Linked DNA regions of Drosophila melanogaster. The protein of the gene in region 1 interacts with the protein of each later gene in a pairwise test. Each region holds a gene or a part of one and is shown on either strand. Other genes may lie near its edges.

What was found. Proteins that work in one complex are often made in the same cells at the same time.
Region 2: the proteins of P5CS (region 1) and Ctps interact in a two-hybrid assay, tested with the Drosophila melanogaster proteins (one study listed by BioGRID).

What each region holds. Positions count from the first base shown.
Region 1 is NT_037436.4:21,969,577-21,976,876, forward strand, and holds the start of P5CS (Delta[1]-pyrroline-5-carboxylate synthase), read left to right. Parts: upstream 1-2,425; 5' UTR 2,426-2,570; coding exon 2,571-2,666; intron 2,667-6,718; coding exon 6,719-6,883; intron 6,884-7,007; coding exon 7,008-7,148; intron 7,149-7,209; coding exon 7,210-7,300. Other genes in the region: Chs2 (chitin synthase 2), read left to right, coding at 1-91.
Region 2 is NT_037436.4:15,095,126-15,102,507, forward strand, and holds the start of Ctps (CTP synthase), read left to right. Parts: upstream 1-2,788; 5' UTR 2,789-3,225; coding exon 3,226-3,391; intron 3,392-3,408; exon of another isoform or gene 3,409-3,662; intron 3,663-3,718; exon of another isoform or gene 3,719-3,740; intron 3,741-4,135; exon of another isoform or gene 4,136-4,377; intron 4,378-4,928; exon of another isoform or gene 4,929-5,515; intron 5,516-5,861; exon of another isoform or gene 5,862-6,915; intron 6,916-7,382. Other genes in the region: GlyRS (Glycyl-tRNA synthetase), read left to right, coding at 137-2,434. UniProt on the Drosophila melanogaster protein: Catalyzes the ATP-dependent amination of UTP to CTP with either L-glutamine or ammonia as the source of nitrogen. Constitutes the rate-limiting enzyme in the synthesis of cytosine nucleotides.

The DNA.
Region 1 (7,300 bases):
GCCGATGGCCAAGAAGGTGAGCTTTACGGCCTCAAACCGGAACAATATGGCTTTGTACGACAACGGCGGGTACGAGCACACCGAGTTCTAGAAAGGATCAAGCTGATGACCAAAGTATTAACCAGAGAATCTTGTAGAGTACTTACTATTGCACATATCTAGGTGTTTTCCACTCTGGACTCGTTAAACAATTTTCAAGAATAGAGTGCCAAGATAGCATTTCTTATCCGTACATACCCACAGTAATCAATAATACCCTAATTAATATGTATTATACAGTTAAAAGCCATCAAAACACCCCTTACATTTGCATATCCTTATGACCTTATATAATCGAATCCCCAAGTTTCTTGGTGGCATAAAAAATATAATTAATTGCATTTAACTGAAGTGGCAGAGGCAGCCAAGTCTACTTCCCTTCTAACTGAAGACATCTCATTAGCATAATTACCAGATGCAGGCGATGGCAATGTCGGGGGGTGGGGAAGAGCAGGACAAAGGAGGGGCTTCTTCATTCATCAATGTCGGGGCAACGCTCAGAGTTAAGTGCTCGTGGTGGCGATGCGCTTTTTGCTTGGAAAGTTCTTGCTCCTCTTCGTTACAAAATGCAAATCAAAGTGTGATTAGCTTGGATTTGATGAAGTTTCTGCAGCAATGCACCTTAGCCGCGCCCATTCGATACTGGTGTGTGTGCGCGGGGGTGTGGCAAGGTGTCAGCGTAAGTGTTTTGTAAGTGAATTTTTCACTGCCTGCGCAAAGAAGGCACAAGGGGGCAAGCGGGCCAGGGCGTAAGAAGAGTCCTTTCGCCAAGGACTGACAGGACTTACTTTGGCAATGCGCATACATTAGGTATAGAAGGTAAGACGGGAGTTCCACCCGCGCAGTACCAGCAGCCAGGTCTGCCACTGGCTTGCCAAGTGCTGAAACCCAAGATTACGGGCGAAGAACACGACTAAGTAATGAACTCGGTTGGTCAAACGGAAGGTAGCCATCGATTCGATGGCGCACCGATATTCATGAAGGGGGGCACAACTTTGTTGGCTTTATAGCAGTTGCCGAATACTGTGTTTCTGCACTAGATTTAAATTGGGAAACTCTTTGAAAGCGCACGCCGAAATGCATTCAGCCAGAGGAAACAGTTACAACAAGCAGATATTTACATATTTATTTGAAAGAACTCCAGAATTGAATAGCTACTGGCAAAAAAAGTCTCAAAAAAGCACAAAACCAGCAATGTAACTCATTGCATAACAGAAGAAACTGAACTATATTATTTCGCTTGACGCTACAGCTATTCTTAGCATTCCTTTGGCCTACTTGGCGTATGCGTGATGTTCTCGTTTTTTTTACTTGCTCCGAGGCATATAGATTGAGAGTTTTCTTGCGAATGTTCTGTGTCGCTGGTGCAACAAACATAACCTAGATCGAGTCATAAACAATGGCACAATTCGATTGAAAAACTTGTTCCAGTTTTTGTGGGGTTGAAGAAAGCGGGGACATAATTTAGCACTTATCTGACCCCAGGCAGCCCTATCCAAAACAATCAAGAGCACCCGGCCCCTCCAGAAGTTGCCATTTGCCTGTTGCCATTTGGTATTGTGCTTTATGGCTTTTCTATGCATTGAAATGGCAATCGTGGACAATGCACAGGACTCGGGACACAGGACACGGGGCAAAGGACACGAAGGGAAACAACTATGCACAAAGCTGGAACAAAACTTTTTAATGTCACTTAATTAAGAACAAAAATTCTGCGCCCGGGTGTCAGTCGGGCATTTAGTCTAGACTGGTTTCTGCTGTTCAGCGGAATCCATTCCGGACATTCTGAGCTAGAAGAGCCTGCATTTCACAGGTAATCTGACAGTCGTTTCCCTTATTACTGGTGCTGACGCTATTGAAAATAATTAAATAAAGGCTGCAGGATGGTTGCACAATGTGCACTGATTATGCGCCTGTTGAAATTCTGCGACTGTCAAGGGGCTTTTCATCGATGTAAACAAGTTGAGATATTCAACAGTTAATTAATATTTTAAATGGCCAGTTTTTTATAAGTATTTTTCAGTGCTAGAGTGGCAGTGATATTTGATGGGCAATTTACTGTGAAGAACACGAAGTTTCGTTTCTCTTGACGTGGAGGACCAAAGATGATTGGCTGCATCAAGGGGTTTTCGTGTGGCACCTTGCATCGTCACTACCAAAACGCACTGCTCCATTGACCTGACAAACAGCCAGTCACCAGATAAGCCCACTTTCCGCCGCCTGCTGCACTTGATAAGACCCGTACTCTCCCCGGTTCAATGTTTGTCCCAGTCCAAGCTACCGGAGAGTGATAGCTGCTTGACTGATAACACTTTGAGAGAGTCCACCGTACACCAAATTTTAATCGCAATCGCAATGAACACTTACAATTACACATGCTCGCCCCACATTATCTCGACCAGCGACCAAGGCGGTCAGTCCGTTGGTTCGCCGCAGTAGAAATCGTCGGGCTTAACGGTTCGGTTCCGTGCGCGTTCCGTGATTTGTAATAGCTCCTTAAAAACACATCCCCTCTAACTCGATTCCCAAAAATGCTGCAAAACAGTTTCAAACTGGCCCAGAGCCTTCGAAACGGCTTCTACAGAAACGCCTGGCGAGCGTTCAGCTCCCACGGACCCCGGCAGCCAGTGAGTGATGTTTATATAAGCACAGTGCGATGACAGTGATTTTACGACCTAATGCTACGTCTGGTGGCGATGGAAAAGTTCTTGAATGCAAAGTCCGTCTCGGTTTTGTGCTAGTCGGAATGGACCTTTGGATGATGATCAATCCTTATCAGTTCTTTGTGTTTAGGTGGGGAGAATCATTTGTGCAGTGGCGAAACTGGTTGGAAAATTGTTCAGAGTGGGAGTCTGTGTCCTTAGCCACAAAGGAAAATTGTCCATTATCAAAATTGATGATTATAAAATAGAAAGAATTATTAACCTGATGAAAACGAACATTCAGAAAAATGTATATTTGAAGTGCCCTCTAAGGTCCACCCTATTAAGCAGACTTACATATGCACACACAGAGAAACATATTTTATTAGCTATTAAAAATTGACAGTATATTGACCGATAAGCGTCGATTAATGTACATTTCAGCGAAGAAATTTATGACAGCCCGAGTCATGACGACTGAACGTGAAGCCATTGTCTGGGAGATTCAGGCTCCCCAGATACACCGAACACATGCCTTTAGTAATAATGAGCAACAAGCGGCCCTTCTCAGTCTAGTGCTTTGTTTTGATTGCATAAGCTTTTCAACAGCTTCTGCTGATTGGGGGACACCCTATGCCTGCCTGCTGAAAATTTTCCCTGCCACTTATGTCTTATCAGAGCCACATCGAAGAGGCAAAACACTGTTGTGCGATTTAACTTTAAGTTCTTTATGGCCGACCGACAACAGCTTGAAAGGGTTTTGGAGTAACCCTAAACCAGGTCATAAACTGGGGCAAATGGACCGTCAAAAGCGGGGAGTCAGGCTAATTGAATGACCATCGGGCGAAGGACTCCCACTCATCGGAGCTGTAAATCATTTACAGTTTCGGTCTGATTTCCACTGACATGAAAACCAGGCGATTGTCGAGTGGTGGGGAGTGGGAAAAGTGCCCGACAAGCTGATAAAATGTTGTCACAGCTTGACAGCTGGTGGACCGCCAGGACTATTGGGTCAGCAAATGCAAAAACGTGTTCAAATAAATTCTAAAAGTGTAAATATTGTATTTTCACACAACAGGAGGGGGAAAAGGGAAATGAAAGGCAGGGCTTCGCAATAAACTTAAAACCCCTTTAAATATGCAACAACACTGGTGACGCTTGCCCTCAGGCAAGGACTGCGAGTGTGTCCTGCCCCCGGGCTCCCCCTTCCCGTCACCGCCGCATTTGCATATGTCCAACATCAGGCCCAGCCTTTGACACTCAAAACGATTTGCCTAGGTCAGGGTCGTGGAGCACCCTTTACCCGCCACCCCAGGCCACCCAGGCATCCCTTCCAAGCCACACCATTCCCATGCGGCGCCACCTCCCCGTTGACTCACTTCATTTTGACACGTGTTGGCAGTTATGGCGCCTTTGGTCCTGGTCTCGACTCTCTTTCAAGCTGTGCGTGTGTGAGGCACATCATAAAAAGTCTATCGAAACAAGCAAACTATATGCATCCGACAATAAGATACCCTGCGCACGATTCATGTGAGCAATGTAAAGCTAAGAAGAACACTTCGTCTTATGCCCAAGAAATAATGCATATATTTCAAAAAGGTTTCCAATTGCATTATAGTTTATGCAGCTGGGTGATGTTTCTGTTATTTGAAAATATAGGAAACAAAATGTTTTTATAGTCTAGGCTTCTGGTGGTCATACCCATATACACAACATTTAGTGGGCATAAGAATCGCTTTGAAGCAGTTTCTCAAAATCCAGTTAGAAATAACGTGCACATTAAGTTAAATAAATGAGTATACTTTCTCAATGCATTTGTCAATGTACCAACTCCAAGACCTCCAGACCTTTATTACCCATTAGTTAGCTGTATAAGTGGAACTTCCAACTTTCAGGGCTGTGATGGCCAATAAACTACAATTACTATTTACATTGCAAGGCATTTAATGCTAATATCATAACTAAATGAGGAAGAGGGCTAATACCGTTTACCTTAACTCAGTACTGGGTTACCTCAACTTCTACAAAGTTTATATTTTGTGTTAAACTTACTCCGCGCATTTTATTTCCCAAAATCCACAAATTCGTTGGGTAATGGTTAATAAATATACATAGTTCATTGTACTTGTCATTGGTCAGTTATAATAACAAAACTATTTTCGGGACTCACACTTCCCGTTAAACTCTAGCTTAAACTTGAGTATAAGTTCTCTTGCCTCTAATACTCCCATCTACTGCTGTACGAGTACCAGGTATAAGTCAAACAAAAAATGTCGTGTAAACATGAAGCACTGGGAAACACGCGTGTAGCCCATCAGAAATGGCAGCCAGCGAAGGGGCGACATCGTGTCAGGGGATCCACTAACATCATTCCCGAACATCTGTCGAGGGCTGCCAGAAATCGTCAAAGTTGGGCCGGACTGTAGATAAGTGTGAAGCCCGCGAGGAGCCAGAACTCATGTATGTGGCAGCACCAGCATTAATTGCTCAGTAATTACACGGACTGTCATCGCATTTGACAGGCCTCAGACACGGGACGGAAGGGGCAGAAGATGTGGCAGTCGATTCCGGTCACTATCTGCACTTCGATTAGAAAAAAATCGAAATGGGAGCCGAGGTCCGAGGCGACTCCTGACCTTCGACTAATTGCATTCGATATCACGCATACGCCATGAGAGCCGGGAAAACAAAATTGGTTCCACCGGCGGTTTTCAGCCAGACGCAGTCGTAAAAATTATTGGTCGCTTTGCTTTTGGATTTCTTTGCGATAGTGCTAAAAACTTGTTTTGTGATAAGGCACGGGCGAACAATTAAACCAAGTTAACAAACAGAGCATTCTTGATTGTCGACGGGTGCTTTTATTGAGCTGCACTTGATACTTGCCATCAGAATTGTCTGACGAACATAACGAAATCAAAATATTTACGCCTCAATTTGACTTGATTTTTCTGAAATAATCGACACGACAAACGCGACGAGTTCTACGTACAAAAAGCCCCGATTGGATGTTATTGCGCGTGAAAGGCAATCGAAGCCCCCGCCCAAACAAACCGATGGTACTGGGGCCAAAAAGAAAAAAAAAGCTAATAAAAATACTTTTGATTGATGGACAAGCGAGGTGGGATGATGAACTGCATCTGTTGGGGTAGGAAAAACAAATTTGCTGTTTACTCTCTTGTTTTCTGAGCAGTTATCTCCTCAACGCGCTAATCTTATCCTCCTTCGGTACTCTATTGAAAGGATATTTTGATATTGTTTATAAAGTCGTCTTTTTCTTAATTGCTTTTGAAAAATACATTGATGAATTGAATGAAGTAAAAAAATCATCCGCAAATATTTGTTAATAATTTTTCAATTGAAAAGTTCCCTGAAAGAGTATATAACCTTTAGGGCTTAAATTAAACAAATATTATCGAGATTTCTCTATTAAGATTTCTCGTCGATAATTTTATAATAAATAATCGTTTTTCTTATGCCTCAGTTCAGGACTCTGGAGAAAACTTTTTAAAGTTTATTTTCCACAAATCAATATGGGTTTTCATTTCGGTATTTAATCTTCAGAATACTGAATACCCAGAAGGCAGGTAAAAATTTTTGAATTTAAGGTTAAAGCCGTTATCATCAGAGGACGTCGTGTTTAAGATCGGATTATGTGGTAATGATCCAATGTTGCAATTGTGCAATTCAATTATGCACTGCGTGTCGGGCTAACTGACTTTTGGAAAACACGCCGCTGGCTTAAAAACCAATTAACACACAACGATTATTAGGAATTCGAAAAGAGCCACGCCAGGGCCAGGGAAAGGGAATTCGGGATTGCAGTTTTAAGTTTAGCTGATTACGCACTGATTAGGTGCATTCGACGGGGAATATTTAATTAATTGGATTGCAATTTATGCCTCGATTTGTTGTTTTTATGGCTTACTCTTCTGCTGTCGCAATTTATGACCTCCCTTAGCTCTATGGCTTTGCCGATTGAGGCGATAAGACACCGAAATGGCCCCGAATAAGTTGCTTTATGTTTCGACCTGTTTCAGCTGGTTTCGCCGGAGCGGCGCTTGGAAAAGGCGCATCCAACCTTCACGGAAAGGAGTCAGTTGAAGTACGCCCGGAGGCTGGTGGTCAAGTTGGGCAGTGCAGTCATTACTCGAGAGGACAACCATGGACTAGCCCTCGGCCGTCTGGCCTCTATTGTGGAGCAGGTAGGCATTAAATATTTTTTCTATCTATATTTTCAGCAGGAAAAGTAACAACTGGCACAAAGTCATATTCTAAGATATTATTACATGCGTATCTTCTTCAATTCTTCACCCAAAACCTCGATAGGTTGCCGAGTGCCATTTGGAAGGACGTGAAGTGATGATGGTCACCAGCGGAGCGGTGGCCTTTGGAAAGCAGAAGCTCGCCCAGGAGCTGCTCATGTCGCTGTCCATGCGCGAGACACTAAACCCAAAAGATAGCAAAGAGGTATCTGCTGGAATTAGCCAAGTTTGAGCATAAACTCAAATGTTTTGCTATCCCAAATTAGTTTGACGGCGCTACGCTGGAACCGCGAGCAGCGGCTGCGGTGGGTCAGTCGGGTCTGATGTCCCTCTACGACGCGATGTTTGCCCAGTACG
Region 2 (7,382 bases), 6.9 Mb from region 1:
CAGTGCTGCAAGCCGGCCGACTAAGACTCATCCAAGTCGAAATTGCAGCCGAAAGTGAAGGTATTGCAGCAGTAGCCAATTGGACGGTTTATTACATAAATTCGCGTTTTTCGGCTGAAAAAATAAAAGCCTCTTTATGTCATTGCAGTTGTTAAAAGCGCTACCCCACCTGCGCAGCGCCACCACAGCCGTGAGAACTCAGATTGCAAGAACAACGTGGAGCGAGCACATTGCCACGAAAGTGTTTTTTAGCACCACTACCACAAAACCTACTCCCTCCGCACCACCACCACCTCCACCAACGCAACCGCAGCAGCCAGCTGCAACCACAAGTTGGGGCACCAAGAAGCAAAATAGAAAGGTAAAACTAAGATCCGCCGCTGCCGAGTTCATCATGTCGAATCCCGAGATTGAGGCTCAACTTGCCCCATTGAGGGAACGAGTTCAGGAGCAGGGTAACCTGGTGAGGGATCTCAAGGCGAAGGGTGCCCCCGAGATCGATGTGAAAAAGGCAGTAGCCGAGCTGAAGGCACGCAAGAAGCTGCTGGAGGACAAAGAGCTCGCCCTGACCCCCAGTGTCGTTAGTTTCGATCGCGCGAAGATGGAGGATCTACTCAAGCGTCGCTTCTTCTACGACCAGAGTTTCGCAATTTATGGCGGCATCACCGGCCAGTACGATTTTGGACCCATGGGCTGTGCCCTCAAGTCCAACATTCTGGCCCTATGGCGTCAGTATTTCGCCCTCGAAGAGCAAATGCTGGAGGTGGACTGCTCTATTCTGACTCCCGAACCTGTGCTCAAAGCCTCTGGTCATGTGGAGCGTTTCGCTGATCTGATGGTCAAGGATGTCAAGACCGGCGAGTGCTTCCGCCTGGATCATCTCATTAAGCAGGCTTTGGAAAAGCTATCTAAGGCCAAGGATGCAACTCCCGCCCTGCAGGCCGAGTGTGAGGATATTATCATTAAACTGGATGGCCTGAACAAACAGGAATTGGCTGGTGTCCTGGCCAAATACAACATCAAATCTCCATTAACCGGCAATGATTTAACAGAACCGATTGAGTTCAACCTGATGTTTGCCACCCAAATTGGACCCACTGGCTTGGTCAAGGGATTCCTGCGGCCCGAAACTGCCCAGGGTATCTTCGTCAACTTCAAGCGACTGCTGGAATTCAATCAAGGCAAGCTTCCCTTCGCTGTGGCTCAAATTGGCAACTCCTTCCGCAATGAAATCTCACCCCGATCGGGATTGATCCGTGTGCGAGAGTTCACCATGGCAGAGATTGAACATTTCTGTGATCCCGTGCTCAAGGACCATCCCAAATTTGGCAACATCAAATCGGAAAAGTTGACCCTTTACTCGGCGTGCAACCAGATGGATGGAAAGTCTGCCGCTCAGGTGCAAATCGGCGAAGCAGTGGCATCCAAACTGGTGGCTAATGAGACACTTGGTTACTATATGGCCCGCATTCAGCAGTTCCTGTTGGCCATTGGTATCAAACCGGAGTGCTTGCGATTCCGGCAGCACATGTCCAATGAGATGGCTCACTATGCATGCGATTGCTGGGATGCCGAAATTCTTACCTCCTACGGATGGGTGGAGTGCGTAGGATGTGCGGATCGCAGTGCCTACGATTTGGGACAGCATACGGCCGCCACAGGTGTGCGTTTGGTGGCCGAGAAGCGTCTGCCGGCTCCCAAAACGGTCGAGGTCAGCGAGATTGTGCCAAACAAGCAGGCTCTCGGAAAGACCTTCAAGAAGGAGGCAAAGAACATCACGGATGCGTTGGCTAAGCTTTCGCTGGAGGAGATAACCAAGGTAGAGGAACAGCTGGCTGGCGATGGTCAATACAAACTGACCACGGCCGATGGCCAAAGCCACGATCTCGGAAAGGACACCATCAGCGTTAAGCACTCTACGAAAACGGTCCATGTGGAGGAGTTCATCCCGAGTGTGGTTGAGCCTTCATTCGGCATTGGTCGCATCATGTACTCCCTGTTGGAGCACAGTTTCCAATGCCGCGACGGCGACGAGCAGCGGTGCTACTTTACGCTACCGCCTCTGGTGGCGCCCATCAAGTGCTCCATCCTTCCGCTGTCCAACAACACCGACTTTCAACCTTATACTCAGAAACTGTCTTCTGCCCTGACCAAGGCGGAACTTTCGCACAAGGTGGACGACTCCAGTGGATCCATTGGCAGGCGGTATGCCCGCACGGATGAGATTGCCATACCCTATGGCATCACCGTGGACTTCGACACTCTAAAGGAACCGCATACGGTGACTCTGCGAGATCGGAATACTATGAAACAGGTGCGCGTCGGTCTGGAGGAGGTTGTGGGCGTCGTCAAGGACTTGTCGACGGCGAGAACCACCTGGGAGAGTGTCACCGAACAGTATCCTCTGTTCGAACAGCAGGAGGCCAGCAAGTAACTGGTTGATCAAGGAGTTTCTTTCGCTTGGCACGCATTTACAGAGTTTCAAAGTTTTCTTATTTTTGTATAAATAAAATTCAATAATTCAATAATTTCTTATAAAATTCAATAAATATGCAACATTTAATGCTTTGCGCTTTGAAATGGGAGTGTGTTTATCTTCAATATGAATTTGATGTTTATTTTCAAAAAATATTTTTTCTCGGTGAAATTTCTTTTTAAATTATTTAATATAATTTTAAATATGCACATTTAAAGTTGTTTGGATCTATGACAATTCAAATTTACCGGATATTATGATTTATTTACACTTAAAATTGGTAATATAAAACGTGAAATTCCTTTTAAAAACGCAAACTATACACAAAGAGTAAAAATATAAACAAGGGAAAGTAATACGAATTATAGGCCATTTTTTCTTTAGATTTAAATCGCAAGTTTCCAAATAAATATGTAACCAGTCCTCACTGCTATGCTAAAATTACATTTGATTCTTGTTTATTTTTGCGGGAACTCAATTTTAATGCATAGGAAACCGCGCGGTTTTTGTGACGTTTAACAACACACGGTGAGTCACTGGTATTCTCAATGAAATGAGCGGTGGTCATACCATAAATACGTATGAGATATTAAACGAATCCAATTTCTAAAACCACGTGCAGCAAAGGCAAATAAACAATAAATTGTGGCTCGGATTGCCTCAGATTGAGTGTCCACCGCGAATTGAACCGATAACACGATAATCCTCCACATTTGGTGATCCCAAAGATTGACATTCGAGACGAAAGGATGAAATACATCCTGGTAACTGGTGGCGTCATTAGTGGCGTGGGAAAAGGAGTGATTGCCTCCTCGTTCGGAACGCTTTTGAAATCCTGTGGTCTGGATGTAACCTCGATCAAGATTGACCCCTATATCAATATAGATGCTGGAACCTTTTCGCCTTATGAGCATGGTGAGTTTTCAAGAGGTCTTCCCATTATTTTATATGGTGTCTATAGTATGTCTTGCTTTCGACATTCGAAAAATGTCTGGTCTCTTATTTTGGCAATTTTTCAATATTTTGCCCATCTGTGCGAGTGTAAGTGTGCGGCGAGTGTCAGTATGTGCATCTATTGTTGTAAGACTATTGTTGTTGTAAAGCCACGCGTCTGGTTATAACCACATGGTGTGAGGTGACGGAAAAGGAGAGAGCGGTGTGGCGCTCTCCCGCCAAAATAAATAATCTGAGCAAAAACAAACGTTTAATAACAAATAAATAAAGTAACAATACATCACTTACGATATGGGAAAACTTTTCAAATCTATAAAGACAATAATATATAATAATAATTATTCAATAATAAATGTAAAGTGAAACTAAATTTTACGATTTGTTTAATTTGATTTAATACAGGGTGCTTATAAAAAGAATGAGATGGTATCAAAATCGCATTTAAAGTAAATGGTAAAACTGTTTTTCTCAGTGTAAATAAACAAGAGGATGTGTAACAGAGATGCATAGAAAGGCAGTCGTCAGCTGTTTTTCATGCTCTCTATTTCTCTCGCTCTCTGATAACCAGCAACAATTGCACGTGTTCTTGAATCTTTGAGTCGGAAATCGAAAAGAAATTAACGCTTTTTCTGCTGGCAACAGAGATAGCAAGCAATTGCTACCAATGCTCATGCTCTTGTACAATGAAAGTTAGATCTCTCTCACCTTCTTCCTTTCTCTTTCTTAATCCCGCTCTTTGTTTTTGGCTCTCTCATCACAAAATTGCCTCCCCCAACCGGCAGACGTTTTTATTGTTGCTTGACATTGAAAATGAAAGTTTTTTCTGTCCGTTTCACTTGCTCTGCCTTGCTGGTTATTTTCTTATTTTTGTTTTGCTTTCCTTTTTTGCCTCTGTTAGTGGAGAAGGGAAACTTTTCACACAGGCGCACTTCTAATAAATTGAAACTGATCCGAACCCACTGGCGGCTCAATTATAACTGACAAATAGAACTTATTGTTCCTTACTTACATTTAATGATACCGTGTGAGTTGGGAAATTTATTTTATCTCTCTCTTTTTATTTACAATACGAAATTGATTGTACTCTCTTGCACTTTCTCACTGATCCGTTTTACTCACTCTGTACTTCCCCTGGCAAGTTGATGATAGCTACAATAACAACAACGTTTAATAAATAAACGGCAGCAGCGACACACACTTGCAAATTTATTTATACAACGTGCCAATGCAATTACTATGCGTTTATTTGCATGCGTGTGTGTGCGAGTGTGTTTGGGTGGTGGGCGCCTACCACTGTGCGTATGTGTGTGCGACATGTGCCGCAGCGTTGACCTGCAGGATTTGCTTGGCCGCTCTGCGCGTGCGATTAAATACATATGTATTTATGTAGTAACTTAAAGCGAAAGCAAAAAAAAATGTCGGTAGACAACGTTCTATCACAAAAATGGATTTTATAATATATTTAATGATCATTTAATGATCTGCCCGACAGGGGCTTCGGATAGGATGAGATGGGTACGTATGGGTATTGGTCCTCCACAGTACCAGGTCCCATCACATCGAATCGGATCGGATGGGTTTTGATCGGAGAAAAGAGGAACCCGTTTTGCGGCATTTTGATTTATAGGCGACTTATGCACTTGGCAGCCGCGGTGGGAGTGGAACTCGCAGCTGAGATGACACGTCTGACCGAATTCATAAGCGGACATCTGGCCAGGGTGCATTATATATTACACGGTATACATATCATAAGCTAAGCCTCGACGGGCACGGGAATTTCAATATTATATCGTGTACGCTAGGCGCCCTCACAATGCGGGTCAGCTGGAAAGCATTCGTATTGGTTAGTGTTGAGTGTTATAACACAACGTTCGCCTCTAGGCCTACGCATCGGGCACATCAAACAAGCTGGGCGGGCTTTTGTTGACGGCTGCCTGTTGGATCATCCGCTTGGCCTTCTCCAGGGACAGCTTCACCACCTCGATGATCTCGTCGTCCACGCCGCCGCCACCTATTGCCTTGTCCACATCGGTCACCTAGCAGTAGTACATGGTATGCTTGGCATCCGACGAAACAACTCCAAATCTGCAAAGGATTGAGGTGGGAATGCATTAATACATTTTATTGTGGTTAGTTTATGCGTGAACCAAACGGATACTGTTAATATGATTTTCTAGCCAAACATAAAATAACTAGAAGTATTCGTTCATAATTGAAATGCTTGAATAAAACTTAGATACTTGAACATGTAACAAAGTACTCTTAGTTGGACGGTTTATTAGGTTAGGTTAATATTTACACTTTAATTAATATAAAAGCGTATATCTACACAGTTGCTGAACATATAGTTAAAAAAGGTTATTAAGGTTTTTTTTTTTGGTTTAATACCCCTTGAAATGAAATTATTTAAGTTAAAAGTATTTCTACTCACCTTATCAATTATGACTCACTTTGATTGGTGTATATGGGCCCTAGCAACTTCGATGAATGAAATGGGCGGCCAGTTCATCTCCCTCGCGCAACGCACCAACCACCACCGCCCCCGCTAGCCCATTCATCCATAGGGGATTACTGTCTGCCGCCTGTCATTTGCATTTTTGTGCCCAGCTTACACTTTTTGCGGGTCGAAATGCACAAAATGCAATTCTGCTCATTTGTTGTGTCTGTAGTTGTTGATGTGCGCTTGAGTTCGCTGCCGACGTCGACTGCGACTGCGACGGCGGCACATGCGTGTGCTTCATTTGTTGTGCGTTAATTTCGGTAGTGTAAGTGTGAGTGGGTGCGAAGAAGGGCGGTAAGGATGGGGGGTAGGGAAAGAGGAATGGGAAATGGGAAATGGCAAGGGTCGCCATAGTGGCCGCTGCGGTGTTCCATCTTTTGAGGGTGTCTTCTTCTAGCTGCCGAGTGCTTGTGTTGCTTTGTGGCTGCTGTTGTTGTTCTTGCTGCCTGGGCTTATTGCGTGTGCTTTGCGCTCCGTCATGCTCCCTTCCCTATCCCTGCCCCTCCCACTTCCCCCTACATCGGTCCATCGGTCACATTAGCGTTTTTAGCCATAAAAGAGCCAAGCTCTTGTGCTCTCCGCCGTCCACCGCCTCCGCCTGCTGCTCATCGTCCTCTTTGTCCTCTCTTTCGCAGCTCTGTCTGCCCATTTGGTTGCGGCCGTCATCGGCGCGTCAACATCGTTAGCAGCTGTTGCTCTTTGCCTGTGCGCCATTAACTGCACCCCCCAACCCTCTGGCACCAGCTCTCTTCCACCGCCTTTTTGGCCTGCATTTGCTTTGTTGCTGGATTTCTGCTTGCGCATTCGTTACGCTCACGTTTCGTTTCGCGACGACAATAATGCTTGGGCCTTTGCTGTTGCTGCTGCTGCCGCTGTTGTTGTTGATATTGCTCCCACCTCTGGCTGCTCTGATGCTCCTCTTTCCCTTTTTTTGCTCACACTCCTGCTCCGCCTTGTGCGTGTGCTGCCACATACAGTAGTAACTCACTAAACGATTATATGGACTTCAAAAGCGATAAATAGTAAACATGTAAATATTTACATACTGTATGCTGGAATTTCCCACTAAAAATAACGAAATAACTGTCATTAAGAGATCTAATTGTTTGTTAGATCCCTTAGTTAGATTTCCCTTATTAATATAGACGATATTTGTATGTATTTAATTTGAAAATTGCATAATTGCACTTATCGACGCTCCGCTTATCAGGCGTGCTTTTGTTATCGCAAAACCCCAAATGTTGGGGATAACTTAAGTATACCTGGGTATAATACGGTATTTGGGAATTAGAAATTTTGACGTTTTATGGAAGAGGCATTAAGAATGAGAACCCTTTTATAATTTGTCCTATTAAGCTTAAGTAAAGTACAATTTTACTTTTAGTACATTTTTAATTTATATGAAAATCTTAATTCATATATATTTTTTGGATAACTAATGGAACAATTTCA